Linked DNA regions of Rhinolophus ferrumequinum. The protein of the gene in region 1 purifies or fractionates together with the protein of each later gene. This does not show direct contact. Links are inferred from orthologs where the notes say so. Each region holds a gene or a part of one and is shown in the gene's direction. Other genes may lie near its edges.

Region 1 (7,187 bases):
AGCAGCTGGAGGCCTGGCACAGGCGTCCTCCCACCCCACGCAGACCAGTCCTGGGAGGGGCACGAGCGGTTCAGCTCACGGGCCATGGATGACGGTGTATTTCTGGCAAGGCAGGTATAGTTCAGGCAGAGCAAGTGCTGGGGTTCTCCCCACGGCTTAGCCATGCCAGGGAGGACGCGGGGGTGTCCTTGCCCGTTGTTTCCTAATACCTGGGCCTTGAGGTTACAACTGAGCTTAAATGGGCTGTAAGTCTGCGTGACTGCGAAGCCTTGGGCGAGTTATTCTCAGCCTCAGTTTCCTCGCCTAAAATGGGATGTCAGCGTGAAGGTGTAGGGCTCCGTGAGCATTAACCAGGATCATGGAGCATGCTTGGGGAGTCCAGACTCTTGGAGAGCACGCGTGACACTGAGAGCACAGATGTCCCCTCGAGCTGTGCCCGCCAGTCCTCAGGAGGTGCCCCTCTGCCTAAATACAGGCGCAGCTGGCACTCAGCTGTTCGTACACGGCTGCCACATCGCCATGTCACTGTGAATCAGAGTGATTTAAGTGCCTAGACTCACACACAGCAAAGAACAGCTGGACGAATGAGTGGACACGAGTCTGTTTATTTCACACCAGACACACTGTATCCATTTTCTTTTGCTGCCCTCAACATTACCACAGCTAATGGCTCGGGACCACACACATCTGTCATCTCACAGCCCTGGAGGTCGGAGGTGGGCTCCGCTGGCTCTGTCCAGGCTGAAAATGGCACCTCTCGGTGGGCTGTGCACCTGTCTGGAGGCTCCCGGAACCAGTCTACTTCCAAGCCCTTCCAGGCTGGTGCCTGAATTCAGTTCCTTGCAGTTCGCTCAGGACTGAGGCCCCATTTTCTTGCTGGCTCAGCCAAGGACAGTCTTTGCTGCCAAAGGCTGCCGCATCCCTTCTCATGCTTTCCGTGTGGTCTGTCCGGCAACAGCAGGCTAAGCCCCCCACACACTCTGCATCTCTCTAGTCCAGCTGGAGAAAGTGCTAGGCTTTTCTGAAAGCTCATGAGATTAGGCTGGGCACACAGATAATCCCGGCTAATCTCCCCACAGTTAAAGTCTGTCATCTTAATTACATCAGCCAAGTCCCTTTTGTCAAGTCATGTCATGTAACGTAGTCCTTTCTTTTTTCCTTCCTTCCTTCCCTTTCTTCATCATCTGAAGAAAAATTCAAGGAGCCAACCCTTCTTGGCAGGAACAAAGAGAAAAAATGGAATGAAGTTCAATGCCTTGTTGAACTCCAGCAGTAAGGCGGCAGCAGGTTATGAAAAGCTTCATTCACAATCACCAGAACTCGGAAGGAATCCAGACGTCCTTCAGTAGGTGAGGCATAAACAAACTGTGCTGCATCCAGATGTTGGGGAGGAAAAATTATCCTGTACCCTCAAGGTTCTTCTGGCTGGACGAATGATCAAATCAACACGAGACAGATTAGCAGAGAGAAACAAACTAACGTTTAATAACATGTCTGCCTCCTGTACACATGGGAGAGACCCAGGAACACTGAGTAAGTCACCAAAATGGCAGAAACCATCACCTTAAATACCACCTTCGGCTACAGACAGAAGATGCTGGGGTGGAGAGTCAGCTATGGCAGGCTGTCAGGAAAAGCACAAGAAACAAGAGTCAGGCTGTCGTGCAGACTTGCGTCCCCGCCTTCTCCATCGATGGTGAAGGCAGGCTGGGCACAGTGATGGAGATGCCGGACAGATGGACACTGCCCTCACAAATGAATGCCCTTCAGCAGAACTTCTTGCTTCTCAAAGCTTCTCCCACGTCTGCTGTTTCTTAAAACTAACCAGCCTCAAATAATCAACATCCCAAAGTGGCAAATTTTGGGGTGGCCAACTCTGCTCACCTTCACAGACAATGGAATATTATTCAGTGATAAAAAGAAATTATTTATGAAGACATGGAAAGATACAGAGGAATCTTAAATGCCCATGACCAAATGAAAAAAAGCCAACTATAAGACATTCTGGAAAAGGTAAAACCATGGAAATAATAAGATGGGTGGTTGCCAGGGTTGGGGAGAGGCAGGGATGACGTGGCACAGCACAAAGTCCTTTTAAGCCGTGAAAATACTGTGTGACACTATCATGATGGATACGTGTCAGTGTACATTTGTGCAAACCCATAGAATGTGCACCACCAGGAGTGAACCTCAACATAAACTATGGACTTTGGGTAATTATGGCATGTCCATGTGGGTTCATCCCTGGTAAAATATGTACCATTCTGATGAGTGATGTTGATAAGGGAGGAGGCTTTGCAGGGCTGTGTGGGAAATCTCTGTACCTTCTTCTCAATTTTATTGTAAATCTAAAGCTGCTCTAAAAAATAATAATAATAAATCTTAAATTTACAAAAAAAAAAAAATTGTCCAAGACACAATTGCAGCCACTGCACTCTATGACACAGCTGTGTGTGCAGCACCTGGCGTCGCACGATGAGGATGAATGGCCCAATGAATGGCCCGTGGGACACACACTGGGGCTTCCTGTGGCTGCTCCCTTGGGTCGGCCAGGCCAAGGCGAGTAACCCATAGGAAGGCGGACCAGGATTCCCCTCATATGAACAACTTCCTAAAATCTGGTGTGTTTAGTTCGAGTGGAAGATGGCACTCCTTATCAAGAGGGTACATCTGTGATAACTCAGAGCTAGCTACTAAATCTGAACTTGGAAACAATCCACATTTAGTATTTTAAATGGTATTTAGTTACCAAAATCTAAATAAATCAAAGAAAAAAATTTTTTTAAGTTATTCAGGGAAGAACAACAGCGTATGTTTTAAGATACAAAGGAAGGCAGCTCACTGTCTTCAGGCATATATTACCATGTTTCTCCCAAAATAACACCTATCCGGACCATTAGTTCTAATGCGTCTTTTGGAGCAAAAATTAATATAAGACCCGGTCTTATTTTAATATAAGACCCGGGCTTATGTAATATAGTATAATATAATGTATATAATCTTATATAAGACCTGGTCTTATATTAATTTTTGCTCCAAAAGACGCATTAAAGCTGATTGTCCGGCTAGGTCTTATTTTCAGGGAAACACGGTACTTTTGTGCTACTTTTGTTTTTAAATTTTAATTTAATCGTAGCTAATTAACCAAAGAATACAGTCTAAACTAAAACTAATTATCTTCAAAAGACTTATCTTAAACACACATGAAAGCCATTGCATATAAGAGAGTCTGACTCACGTTTTCAACAGCTCAGGAGCAGACCGGCTAAATCAACAAGAAAAAAAAAAGATTACGGCCCATTTCTCTGCTCGTCCTCACAACAAAGGGTTGCCGTGACTCACTGCCTCTAACTGTCCTGTCACTTTCTCTAAAACGCTCTCAGCGCAGGTTTGCACCGTCCACTCCGGGACTGCTCTCCTCCGGGTCAGAAATGGCACCCCGCTCGCGACAACCAGTGGGCCCTCTCGGCGCTCCGCACGCAGCGGTTAAGAGCGGACCACCCCCTCCCGGCTTCACGGGCTCCACCCGCTCCCGCGTCTCCAGGCGCCCACCTCACAGGTGGCTCCTCTTCAGCCTCCTGCGGGGCTCCGCCCCTGGACCTCGTCCCCATCTGCCCGCCCTCCCTCCTCGCTCACCTGGTCTCTCCTGGCTGCCATCCAAGTCGAACACAGACTTCCCGGAGCTCACACTGGGACCGAAGAGAGAGCTTTGCAGCCCCGCCAGGTGCGAGGACGCGCTCCGACGCGCTCGGACGCGGCGCGCTCCAGGTGCGGCCCCTCAGAGCGTGCTCTCCATTGGCTGCTCCGTCGAAGGACCGCGCTCCTATTGGCCGCGCTCCACTAGCTGCGGGCGGGGCCGCCTCGAGCCCTCCCATGACCCCCGAGGTGGACGGGCGAATAGCGGTGGTCCTGCCGCTGGTCTTCAGAGGCGCGCCAGCCCCGGGCCCACAGCCGCCCGCTGGCCGCGACGTACCCTGGCCACCCCGCCGCGCCACGTTCCGGGCCTGGGACAAAGCCCGGGGCGGCCCGCGCAGACGCACTGGCGCCTCCCGGCAGCCCCCGGCAGACCCCGCGGCCGCGCGCCCCACCCAGCCCAGCGCAGGGGAGCTCCCCGCCCGGAGGCGGAGGGGAATGACGTCATTGAGCAGGGCGACGGGCATTGGGCGCCATTTTGAAAAGGGGAAAAAAAATCCCTCCCCGGCGCTGGCGGCGGCAGCCGGGTTAAGGTGCTCGCGCGGCAGCTGCGCGGCGGCAGCCTCCTTCGTCCGCCGCCGACTCGGCGCCCGCCAGCCTGCGGCCGGCCATGGCAGGTGGGGTCCGCGCGGGGCGGGGCGGGGGCGGAGGAGGGGGACGGGCGGGTCCGCGCGGCCTGACGCGCCGGGTGTGTCCACAGGAGCCGGAGGCGGCGGCTGCCCCGCGGGCGCCAATGACTTGCAGTGGTGCTTCTCGCAGGTCAAGGGGGCCATCGACGAGGACGTGGCCGAAGGTAAGGCCGCGCGCGTCCGCGCCCCCTGCCCGCACCCGCCCGCGGCCCTCGGGGACCCTGGTCTCGTGGCCGCTCCGGGGAACTGCCCGGGTCCGGGTCCGAGACCGCGGGCCTGCCCAGCGCGGGCTCTGTCTGGAAGGAGCCCAAGGTCACAGAGCCTGCTGGGAGCTGGGGTTTTCGGACGGGGTGCTGGGTTCTGGGTCTTTTCCGCTGCAGGTGGCTGCCTCCTGCGTGTGGCAGAACTGTGGAAATCGCTGCAGAAACGGGCCTCGAGAAACAAAATCGGGATAACTGCAGCGGGGAGGCCTCAGGTCCCCACCCAGGCGCTCTAGTCACCTGTGGGTCTTGGGCAAGCTGATTGGCCTCGGTTCCCTCGACTTGAAAAAGAGGATTGGGATTTTATTATCAATTCTTTCAAGTTCCTCCTGCAGGTTTTACTCTTGAACCTTACGCTGTTACTTGAAGTCGGTTGTTCTTTCCTTAATCGTGCCCCTAAACGAGCCAAGGTACACGGGATTTAGGGTGGTGGGCAGGAAGCTGCCTGTCCTAAAGTAAAGCAGCGCACTTCTTTCCCGCACACACGGTCGCGGGTAGCCCTGATTCTTAGAAACCCAGAAGTTTACTTCCGGCCACATCGTGACTTCTCGTTGCTCAACCATCTTCCCGAACATTGTGAACCCGTAACCTTCTTATAAAATTCATTGTCTTTACACCAAATGCACCTTTTTTGCCCCCAAGTAACGGACAGCCTCGGGTCCCTCTGTGTCGTGTCCCCTTTCCTCCTCCTTGGCCCCTCCCATGACCTTCTGCATCCTTGCCCTTCACCGCTCACGCTCACCCGCAGTGTGACTTCTGGAGATTCTTGGCCCCGAGGACAGCGCCCCATTAGTAAAGCAAGTAAACTGGGCGCTCCAAGAAATTTGTGACGACGCATGTTTGAGAGTGAAACTAGGTGATTTTATATACTCTGAGTAATTTGATCCTGCTCCTTCTATAGTTATTTATGTAGTTATTTATATTTTCATTTTATATATGCCAAGTGAATGACAGTTCAGTTTACACAAAATTTCTATCAAGAGTAGCAAAACCTGTTTGTTTAGGGGTAGAGAGGGGAGAGGGCTTGAGGTCTACCTTAATTTCTGGTTTCTTTCCCTTTTTTTTAAAGAAGTTACAAGCCGAATAAATTAAAATTTAAATGCAACTAAAATGACATATTTTAAGTGGGGTGTTGCACTTTGAAAATAGGCTGTCCTTTAAAAAATCTTGACAACTGTTTTGTCCTCTGAATTAAAACTGATAGGAATTTTTTTTGCAGTTTTAGTAGAATTTTGAATACATCTAAAAGCTTGGTATTTCAGGTTATCTTTTTGTGAGATTTGTTTTGTGGTGACAGCCCCCATGTTTTTGATTGTTGTGTGTACTCAGAGGCTTGTGTCTTAATCCATGTATGATCTGGCCTCTGTAATCCATCAGAGTAACACATTTATAACTCTTCATCCTTTGTCATGTTGTTCTGTCAAATTGTGTTCGTTTGAATCGCGTTGTTCCAATAGAAGTCGATGATAAAGGAAAACGTCATTGTTAGCAGCTAGTGATTGTTACGCAACGAGAGTGAAGATGGTCAAGAAGCTGGTTGTGCCCAGACACCCTGATGAAGAAATGTTGGGAAGCGATGACAGGAGATGGGTAATTTCAGGGAAGTTTGGACCGGAAGTTTATTTGCTAAGATTGGAGGCTTGTCAGGCATTGTGTTCTTGAAGGTTTTGTTCTGGTCTGAGCTCTACATGAGGAGTCCCACCGTAAGCTTGGACCGTGTGCTTACCCTGCCTTGGGTGATCAGAAAGTGCTGAGATGATCAGCTGGGGTCCTCCAGTGACGTAAGGACAGCACCTAGTGAGTCTCAGGAGGTGTGGGCTCCCCTGACTTTGAAGGATGAGGAGAGGGCACAATGGAGGGAGGTTTTTGATTTCCTTTGGTTTTTAAAGCTAATCATGTTGGGACACTTGAATCCCAACTCCTGAAGAAAGTGTTGTATTGTGTAAACTTTGATGCCCGTTTCTCTTCTTCTTAAGAACAGGGTTTTGCTCGTGGGTCAGACCAGCCATGGTACCATCAGGGCTTTCCCATCTCCCTGCGAGTAGGTGCAGAGCTGGGCTCAGAAGGAAATGAGTGATTGTCCTGATGACACGATGCATGAGTAACAGTCACTGCTCACATGCCTCACTCTCCTTCCCATACAGCAAGCTGGCTATGGCCATAGGTGGCCCCGAAGGTGCATTAGGTGAGCTTTTTTGCCTAGGGGAGCGAGTGAGAATCGTAACACCCAGGGACGCTTCCAGTGGAAGTGAGAAGTTGTTTGGTAGGTGGTGCCTCCAAAAACCTGTGCTCTGAACGGTGATCACTTTTTGGAAGTTGTTAAATGTGCAGATTTTTCACGTGTGATGTCACCATTACCCAGCCCGCTCCCTTTCCTTGGGCAGTGCCCTGGGTGAATGTTGTTAGCAGACGCCACACGATACTATAACCCTCGCTTGTCTGTCTTCAACAGTGTGAGCACCTCAGGCTTGAAGGCGGGTCCCTCAACCCCCCGCCCCTTGTGGAGGTCCCAGCCCAGAGGTGGTGACAGCTCACAGTGTTGAGTGTTATGTTCCAGAGCTGCTCCCAGCTACCTTGTCTGTCGGTCCCATCCTCACACAACCTC
Region 2 (7,526 bases), on another chromosome or scaffold:
TTTAAAATTCAATTCCTCAAGTGCACGAGCCACAGGGGCCTAATGGCTACTGCATTGAACAGTGCAGATCTGGGATTTTATATGGTGATGTTTTCTCAGTTTGTGGCTTGAGAGGGTACTAGGTCCATGTGAATGAATCCAAGTGTACTGCTTATTGAGGAATTTGTTTTCCTTCGCAGTATTAAAAAAGGCAAAGTATGACAAAAATGATCATAAGAACCACCTAAGGCTTTCTGAACCAAGACAACATTTAGGACAAGAAGGAGGGTGGGCCTATAATAGTTTAGGAAAGGAAATGGGGAGGAGGAAAGAAGCGAGGTTTCCGTGCCCACCCCTAGTCAAATGCTATTTGAAGATAAAGAAACTCTATTTTTTTTAGCATGGTAAACATTTCATATCTTTTTTTTTAATTTTTATTTATTTATTTTTAATTTATTGGGGTGACAATTGTTAAGTTGCTCAGCAGTCAAGAGGAAAGAAAGGATGTAAAATATGCCAGAACTGTGAGAGAGAAAAAGTTGAATGAAAAAGTGGATTTTGTGTGTTCTCAGAGGAGCACGAGGAATATTGCTTACGTAGAATGCTAACAATGTATTTTTATAGCGCTTTCCCCCCTAAACAATTCAGGATGTCATACAAATAATCATTCACTCACATGAGCAACTTTGACTAAAAAAAAAAATTTCCAAATGTTCTAACATTGAGAGGTAGGCACAGTGCAGATGTTTTTATTTCACCCACCCCCTTTTCACTCGTTTCTTCTCACGGAGCTATTGTTTGCATAATCCATAGTGGGTTTGCATTGTTCTTATATAGACTAGACCCAATTTAAGGCAATAGGAGCTCTGCAACCATCTGATAATACTGAGCCTTCAACGAGTCATGCAAACAAGACAAAGTCAATAGCAGTGGGTAGACAGCCCTTTCCTGAGAGGAATCCCCAGGCCGGAGACCCATAGTGCCTGATTGGGGACAACTGTGGCCAACGCTCCGCGTGTTCATCTCCTTGTGCCCAGTGGAGAAGATGGGGGATGGACGGACAGACCAGACCCAATGGACATGCTTGGCCACTTCTTCCAGAGCACAGAGCAGTTGCTTCCTCTGTCCTTCGGACACCCTTCGTGTTTCTCATAGTGCTACCAGTTTTTTTTTTCTTTTTAACTGAGAAAATCTCAAAGATTGATGACAGCAAACTCTCTCAATTACCTGCTTCCTAAAGCTTAGAAGACTATGTTCTGTATCTTCCCACTTTTTCTGGTAGGCGGAGGTGAAGCTTGCTGATCCTAAGAGCCTAGGCCCTCCAAAGATGAGTTCTCCAGGTTGTACTTTGTTGTCTCAGGAGTAGAGGATAATAATTGTGATCGCACTCAATTTCAAGTCAGCAGATATTTATAGAGCACCTAGTATGTGGTATAATAGAAAACGCATTCAAAATTCAACTGGGACTAAGAGTGTACCTACTGTGTGCTTGGTACTGAGCTAGGCACTGGTATAACCATAACTAGACTTAGTAAGCGCTTGTATGGTGCTAGAGACTGTACGTATGTTTATTATTCCCATTTTACACAATAGGTGACTAGGCACAGAAATGTTGCAAAACTCAGACTGGATTTTCTTATTTCACCGAGATGTGAAATCACTTTCCAAAAGTCATATAGCAAGTAAGAGGTAGAATAAGGTAGTGGCACCTCACAGCCCTTCCCTCAAGCTTTAAATAGGTTCACAGTTGAAATCCACCCTCTCTGCCTACAGCTGTATGACTTTAGGAAAATTACTTAAACTTTTAAAATCCTAGTTTCCTCATCTGTAAATGGATATAATGATATGTAATATTTTCAGAACTTTCTACAGATGATAAATAATGCCTGTAAAGTGGCTAGCGCAGTGCCTGGCAGACAATATCATTATTAGTGATTCATAAATCCAAATGCATAATCACTCAGTATATAGTGCTATGGCTACCCACCCCTGTTGTTAAAACATTGAAAGTCTTCCATGCCAGTTGGCAGACCCCTTGAGTGCCCCACGTCCTGGCCATCTTGCCCCTCCTGTAGGAGCCTCCCATAACTCCTGGCCCTCTAAGCGTCTCCAGGACTCCGCTCTGATGCTTAGTGCCTGTGTTGCCCTGTGTGTTAACTGTGTTAACTGTGGCAACACAGTTAAGTATTTTCACTATTGCCTGGCTACAAATATGAGATGGACTCCTGCCTCTGTTGAGAGTACAGTTTGGGAGGGGCCCTGGGCATGACAGCGGAAAGTGAGGAGGTCAGAGATGAAAGAGAATGTTTCACACGGTGCAGGATGGTGATACACCCCGCCCAGATTGGTCAGGACGGCTTTATCAGTGACCTGTTTAGGTGGGTGGAGGCATCCCGGGTCATCACTAAAGCTCCTTTTGTCTCTCAGTTTTTTTCATTCTTGCCACCTCCACCGAGTTCAGTCCTTCATGACCCTTTGCCTAAACTTCCACAAGTGCTTTACGATTAAGTGGTTCTCTTTGTAATTAAGTGTACTGTTCTAGAATCCATTCTTTGGTTCCCTTACTCAATAACCTTTAGTAGATTCCTGTGGCCCCCATCTCCTTATTGAGGCATCCACGACCCATTATCATGTAGCACCAGCCTCAGTTTCCATCCTTTTCCACCTCCTGTAGGTGTCTGGCACACCTGCCAAATGAGATGGTCTCCACCAGGGGCTCTGTTGCTCCTGCTGCTTGGAACTTGTGGGTCCTACTTCAGAGTTTTTCTGTGTCCTCCTCAAATGCAACTTCTTTCTCCCATCTCCGTTCCTCCTCCCACCCCATGCCTCTTCTCCCACCCCAAAGTTGTATTGGGGGGTGATGTGTTCTGATAACTGAAATACATTGGTAGCTTATTATATGCCAGGCTGTTCTAAGAGCTTTGCATGTGTTACCTTGTTTTAGCCTCACAAAAACTCTTAAGAGGTAGCCACTATTATTATCTCTATTTTAAGATGAAAAAGACCAAGGCACAGAAAGGTGAAATAACTTTCCAGAGGTCACACTGCAAGTAAAATGTGGAGCTGGGATTGCAACTCAAGAAGCTTGTCTTCCGAGCCTGTACTCTTACTCAGTGTTTTTTAGTAACTAATAGCTCTCAAAGAAAGAGAAAATGGAAACATTTCTCTCATGTTATTCCTCAAACTGCAAGGCTTGCTTTTGTAATTATTTGTGTTATTATTTCCTCTCCTTCTTTATGTGAGCTGCAAATTCCTGGAGGGAAGGAACTCTGGGTCTCATGGACCGGTGTGTCAGTTACCTTCAATAAGTTGTGATATTTCTGAGCCATCACATCCTTTGGAGCCTCTGATTGTGACTTGGCCATCATCAAGCCCACTTTTCACTAGTATTTCTTCTAACTAAATATAGCAAATCCTCCAATGTCATTTTCTTCAATTGTTTCGTTATAAGGTTGATGAGATGCTGTGGGAACTTAACTCTTGTTTATATCAATTAGCCTGTGGTAAAATCAGTTGTGTTCTGTGGCGTGTCTGTAGACTACTTGGCCAAACTCTGGTCAGGCCAACAGTTCCACCTGGACTCCGAGAAAGCTGTACTTCGTTTTATGATTCAGATTGTGGCTGAGTTGTCATTTCCCTTCTGCATAATAGAGCAGATGTGTGTGTGTGTGTGTGTGTGTGTGTGTGTGTGTGTGTGTGTGTGTGTGAGATTTCTCCCTTTTAGAGCTGGCGAAACTAAGGTGTTCTGAGGTTATTCACTCAGTTGTCAGGCAGGTCTGTGGTGGAGCTTAGGTGGGTCTAACTGAAACTGATTCTCCAGGAACCCAGTCTAGGACCCTGGCCAACCCTGTGGTGATTCTGCCCTAAATGCCATGTACTAAGGATCAGTAGAAGGGCTAAGTTGTTGACTGACCAGAAAATTCTGGAACACTCTTCCCCTATATTTTTACCTTGACACAAAATAAAATTATGACATCATGATGAGAACACAGGACTTCTCTATTTGTATTTTTAGAACTTGCTCGATTTTTTTTCAAGGGTGGCTGGTCAGTCCTTGGGTTGAAGGAAAAATCATTGTGGAGAACTTGTCCCACCTTTCCTCATAACCTGTGTGACAACGGTTTGTTCTAAAATCTGGAGAACACACAATAATAGATGCTGGCTTTAGTGGAACACCAGTAACTTTTTACCTAGACACAATTCCTTGATAAGCAACCAAAACTGAGAAACTTTTCGAACCCCCGTTTTCTTCATTCCGTGTTAGAATTGATGGCTGCTAAGAGTGTATGTGACTCTAGGGGGCAAGGGACTCATACAACATTAATATCTGCTAAATCTCTTATAGTAATACTATTGTTGTCCAGGGGCTTTCCCTTGCCGCATTATGCTGTTATCTTCATTTCTGCCAGGGTTGGCCAGGAGCTTACAGGTGTGTGCTGCCTTGAAAATGGAAGTGTGGGGGCGGGGGTGGGGGGAGGTGAACCAGGACAGATCCGGACTTTATTGCAGAGCAAGGTCCACCACCATACTCGGATGAAAGTTCGAATGGCTTAGCTCGCTTTGGTTCTGGCACACCAGCGCACAAACCAGATTCTTTACCTACAAACAACACGGTGGCTATGCCTCCTCCCCATCACCCGCCCTAGGAACACAGACGCCGCACAACCCGCCAGTCCCTCGCCACACGCGTAGTCCCCTTTAAGAGCCTGCTCCGCGGGACTAACGTTCGAATGGCTCTGGCGCCCCTCCTCGGTCTCCGATTGGCCGCGTGTAGAGCATGAGGGCGCGTTGACCCGCCCCGGAACGGTTGGCGGCCCTTCGCGATTGGCGGGCGAGGAGCATATATAAGGCGCCGGGGGAGTGGGACTGCCCTCAGTTAGCGACCAGGCACCTGACCGGACAGGAAACTGGGTAGTTACCTGTTGTGGAGGGGACGCGGAGGTCAATAAGCGCGTCACAGGAATCGTTTCTTTCTGGAGTCTTGGGGAGGATTTCTTGACTCCTCCAATTTCTCTCCCTGTTTTTGGACCCTAGCCGGGGCTCAACCCTCCTCTCCGTGCTGCCCGTGAAGGGGCTCCAGGCAGGATGGAGTTCAAGCTGGAGGCGCACCGCATCGTCAGTATTTCCCTGGGCAAGATCTACAACTCGCGGGTCCAGCGCGGCGGCATCAAGCTGCACAAGAACCTTCTGGTTTCGCTGGTGTTGCGCAGCGCCCGCCAGGTCTACCTGAGCGACCCGTGCCCCGGCCTCTACCTGGCCGGTCCGTCAGGGACCCCGATGGCGCTGCCGCAGCTGCCCGGGGAGCCTGCGGCCGGCCCCGCCGCGGGATGGGGAGAGCCGGCACCGCCGGCCGTCCCGGCCGCCTGGCAGGAGACCCAGCCGCACCCGGAACGCTCCGCCGTCCCAGACGCTCAGCGGGCGGTTGACGCGGAGCCCGCGGCTCCCGGGATCGACGCCGGGGACGCTGTCCTGGGCGGACAAGCGGCTGCGGGACCTGCCTGGCGCCTCATGGAGGGACCGCGAGAGGCAGCGGCCGGAGGACCCGGGAACCCCGCCGGAGCCTCGGAAGTCTTCCCCGAGGTGGCCCGGGCGGCGAGCCACCACTGCGGCCGCCCCCCAGGAGGGGAGGACCAGCCGGGGGCGCTGGGCGCCACCCCCCGCGGTGACTGCTGCTGTGCGAAGGAAGAGGCCCCCGCGCCGCCCCCCATCGGCCCCAGGAAGCGCGGCGCGGCAGGGGCGGGTGGCGTCGGTGGCCCGGCGGGCTGCCCCGCGCCCAGCTCGACCCCGCTGAAGAAGCCCCGCCGGGACTTGGAGGAGCCGTCGAGCGGGGCGGCGGCCGAGGAGGAGGAGGAGATGGAGACCGGGAACGTGGCTAACCTTATTAGCATCTTCGGTTCCAGCTTCTCGGGACTCCTGCGGAAAAGCCCCGGGGGCGGCCGGGAGGAAGCCGACGGAGAGGAGAACGGTCCGGAAGCCGCCGAGCCCGGGCAGATCTGCTGCGATAAGCCGGTGCTGAGAGACATGAACCCCTGGAGCACAGCCATCGTGGCCTTCTGAGCCCTCGGTCTCCGTGCGGGCAGGCGAGTGAGCAGCTGGCGTACCGACGCGAGGGCTGGGCCTCTCCCAGCTGCGAGGACGACCCGGAGACCGTGGGCGCCGAGCGTGTTGGGGAGACTGTGGCAGCTGCCCGGCAGTGCGCGCTGCCCGTGGCCTTGGGCACCCTGCTGTGCCGGCCTCTCTCTCGGGGCCCTTCTTGAGACTTGGGCATGTGAGGCTTATCGGAAGAGGACGCTCGTTCACTTGTGTGTCTGTGTATGTCTGTGTTGTAAGTTTGTTTTGTGATTTAAGACTATTTTGTCCTTCTGGAATGCATCACCCCTTCCCCAGCCAGGGCTTAGGAGACGGGGGGCAGACAGGGACTTTCCTCTGCCAGCAGCCCCAAGAAGGAAGCGGCGAAAAGGGCCGGGGAGTTCCCCGCGCGTTCTTGGGGCAGGAAGGGACTTTACACACACCCCTCACATGAAAGCTAGAACGGTACCAGGGCCAGGAGTGGCGTTTCCTCGCAGGATTTCCTAAGACTAGAGGGATTTAGCCTGCAGTCGAGACTTGTATTATTTCTCTCCCTCCCCACCTTTCTCTCTCACTGAAGCACCGTTTATACCCTGTGATTACTCTGGGAAAGGGGAATCTTAGCGGCCCTTGTCTTCCCCAGAGGGAAAAACGCTTGACGAACTTCTCAGAAGAGGTCAAGCTTGGAAATACGGAGTTTATAGAGAAAAGATATATTTTTAAAAGCTCTAGTTCAGAACTACTACACAGTGCTTTTAAAAAATGTTTAATGAAACAAAGTTTACAGACAGAACCCTTAAGTGGAAAGATCTTATGGTTTTGTAGATATGGTGACTCCAGTCTTTGTTGTATAAAGGTTGGGGGAGCTGACAAGGTTTTTGTACAGTATTTTCTCCTTCGTTGTATTGATTTTTGTATAAAAATGTAACTCTACGTGTCTAACACGTATTAAATATTTTGAAGCAACTTCACTGCCTCCTTGCCTGTTCATCACCAGTCTGGGTTGGGAGGGGGGTGGGAGGAGGGAGACTGTGGTCCAGGCTGGAAAATTGAAGGTGTGGTTGTTAATATCAGTCAAGCACAGACTGCGGACATTGTTTGCTGACTTTAGTGAGTATCCAGAGAGACACGTTTAAGGTTTCTCCCCCAGATCAGAGGACTGCTACCAGATACTAATGTCAGTGGCCTGCCTGTTTCTTGAAACTTGCCACTTCCAGCCGCCTTTTCTAAAGTCATATTAGGCCAATTTGATTTTTTTCTCAGCTCAATCTGTTGGTGTCTTACTTAATATTAAATAGCTGAAGCGCCAACTTTTGAAGCCCTTCCCATCCTGGAAAAGGTTTTCACTGAAACTTTTTGTCTCCTGCTAAACTGTATTACTTGGGTCCTCTTTCAGCTTTGTTATTGAAAAGAAACTGACAGGAGGGAAACTGAGGAGACTGACTCGCCCAGCTGATCAGGTCCACCTCTGCATTCCA

The links.
Region 2: the proteins of PPP2R2D (region 1) and IER5 purify together in Homo sapiens (affinity purification with mass spectrometry; 3 studies listed by BioGRID and IntAct, counting the BioPlex papers as one, with this or other methods). This does not show direct contact. The link is inferred for Rhinolophus ferrumequinum from reciprocal best matches to the Homo sapiens genes PPP2R2D and IER5.

The regions. Positions count from the first base shown.
Region 1 is NC_046299.1:1,054,378-1,061,564, reverse strand, and holds the start of PPP2R2D (serine/threonine-protein phosphatase 2A 55 kDa regulatory subunit B delta isoform), read left to right. Parts: upstream 1-4,303; coding exon 4,304-4,310; coding exon of another isoform or gene 4,311-4,393; coding exon 4,394-4,486; coding exon of another isoform or gene 4,487-4,618; intron 4,619-6,701; coding exon of another isoform or gene 6,702-6,744; intron 6,745-7,187. Other genes in the region: transcription initiation factor TFIID subunit 4, read right to left, coding at 3,637-4,618, 6,702-6,744. UniProt on the Homo sapiens protein: Substrate-recognition subunit of protein phosphatase 2A (PP2A) that plays a key role in cell cycle by controlling mitosis entry and exit. Involved in chromosome clustering during late mitosis by mediating dephosphorylation of MKI67.
Region 2 is NC_046305.1:13,388,736-13,396,261, forward strand, and holds IER5 (immediate early response gene 5 protein), read left to right. Parts: upstream 1-4,836; 5' UTR 4,837-5,064; coding exon 5,065-6,036; 3' UTR 6,037-7,014; downstream 7,015-7,526. UniProt on the Homo sapiens protein: Plays a role as a transcription factor. Mediates positive transcriptional regulation of several chaperone genes during the heat shock response in a HSF1-dependent manner. Mediates negative transcriptional regulation of CDC25B expression.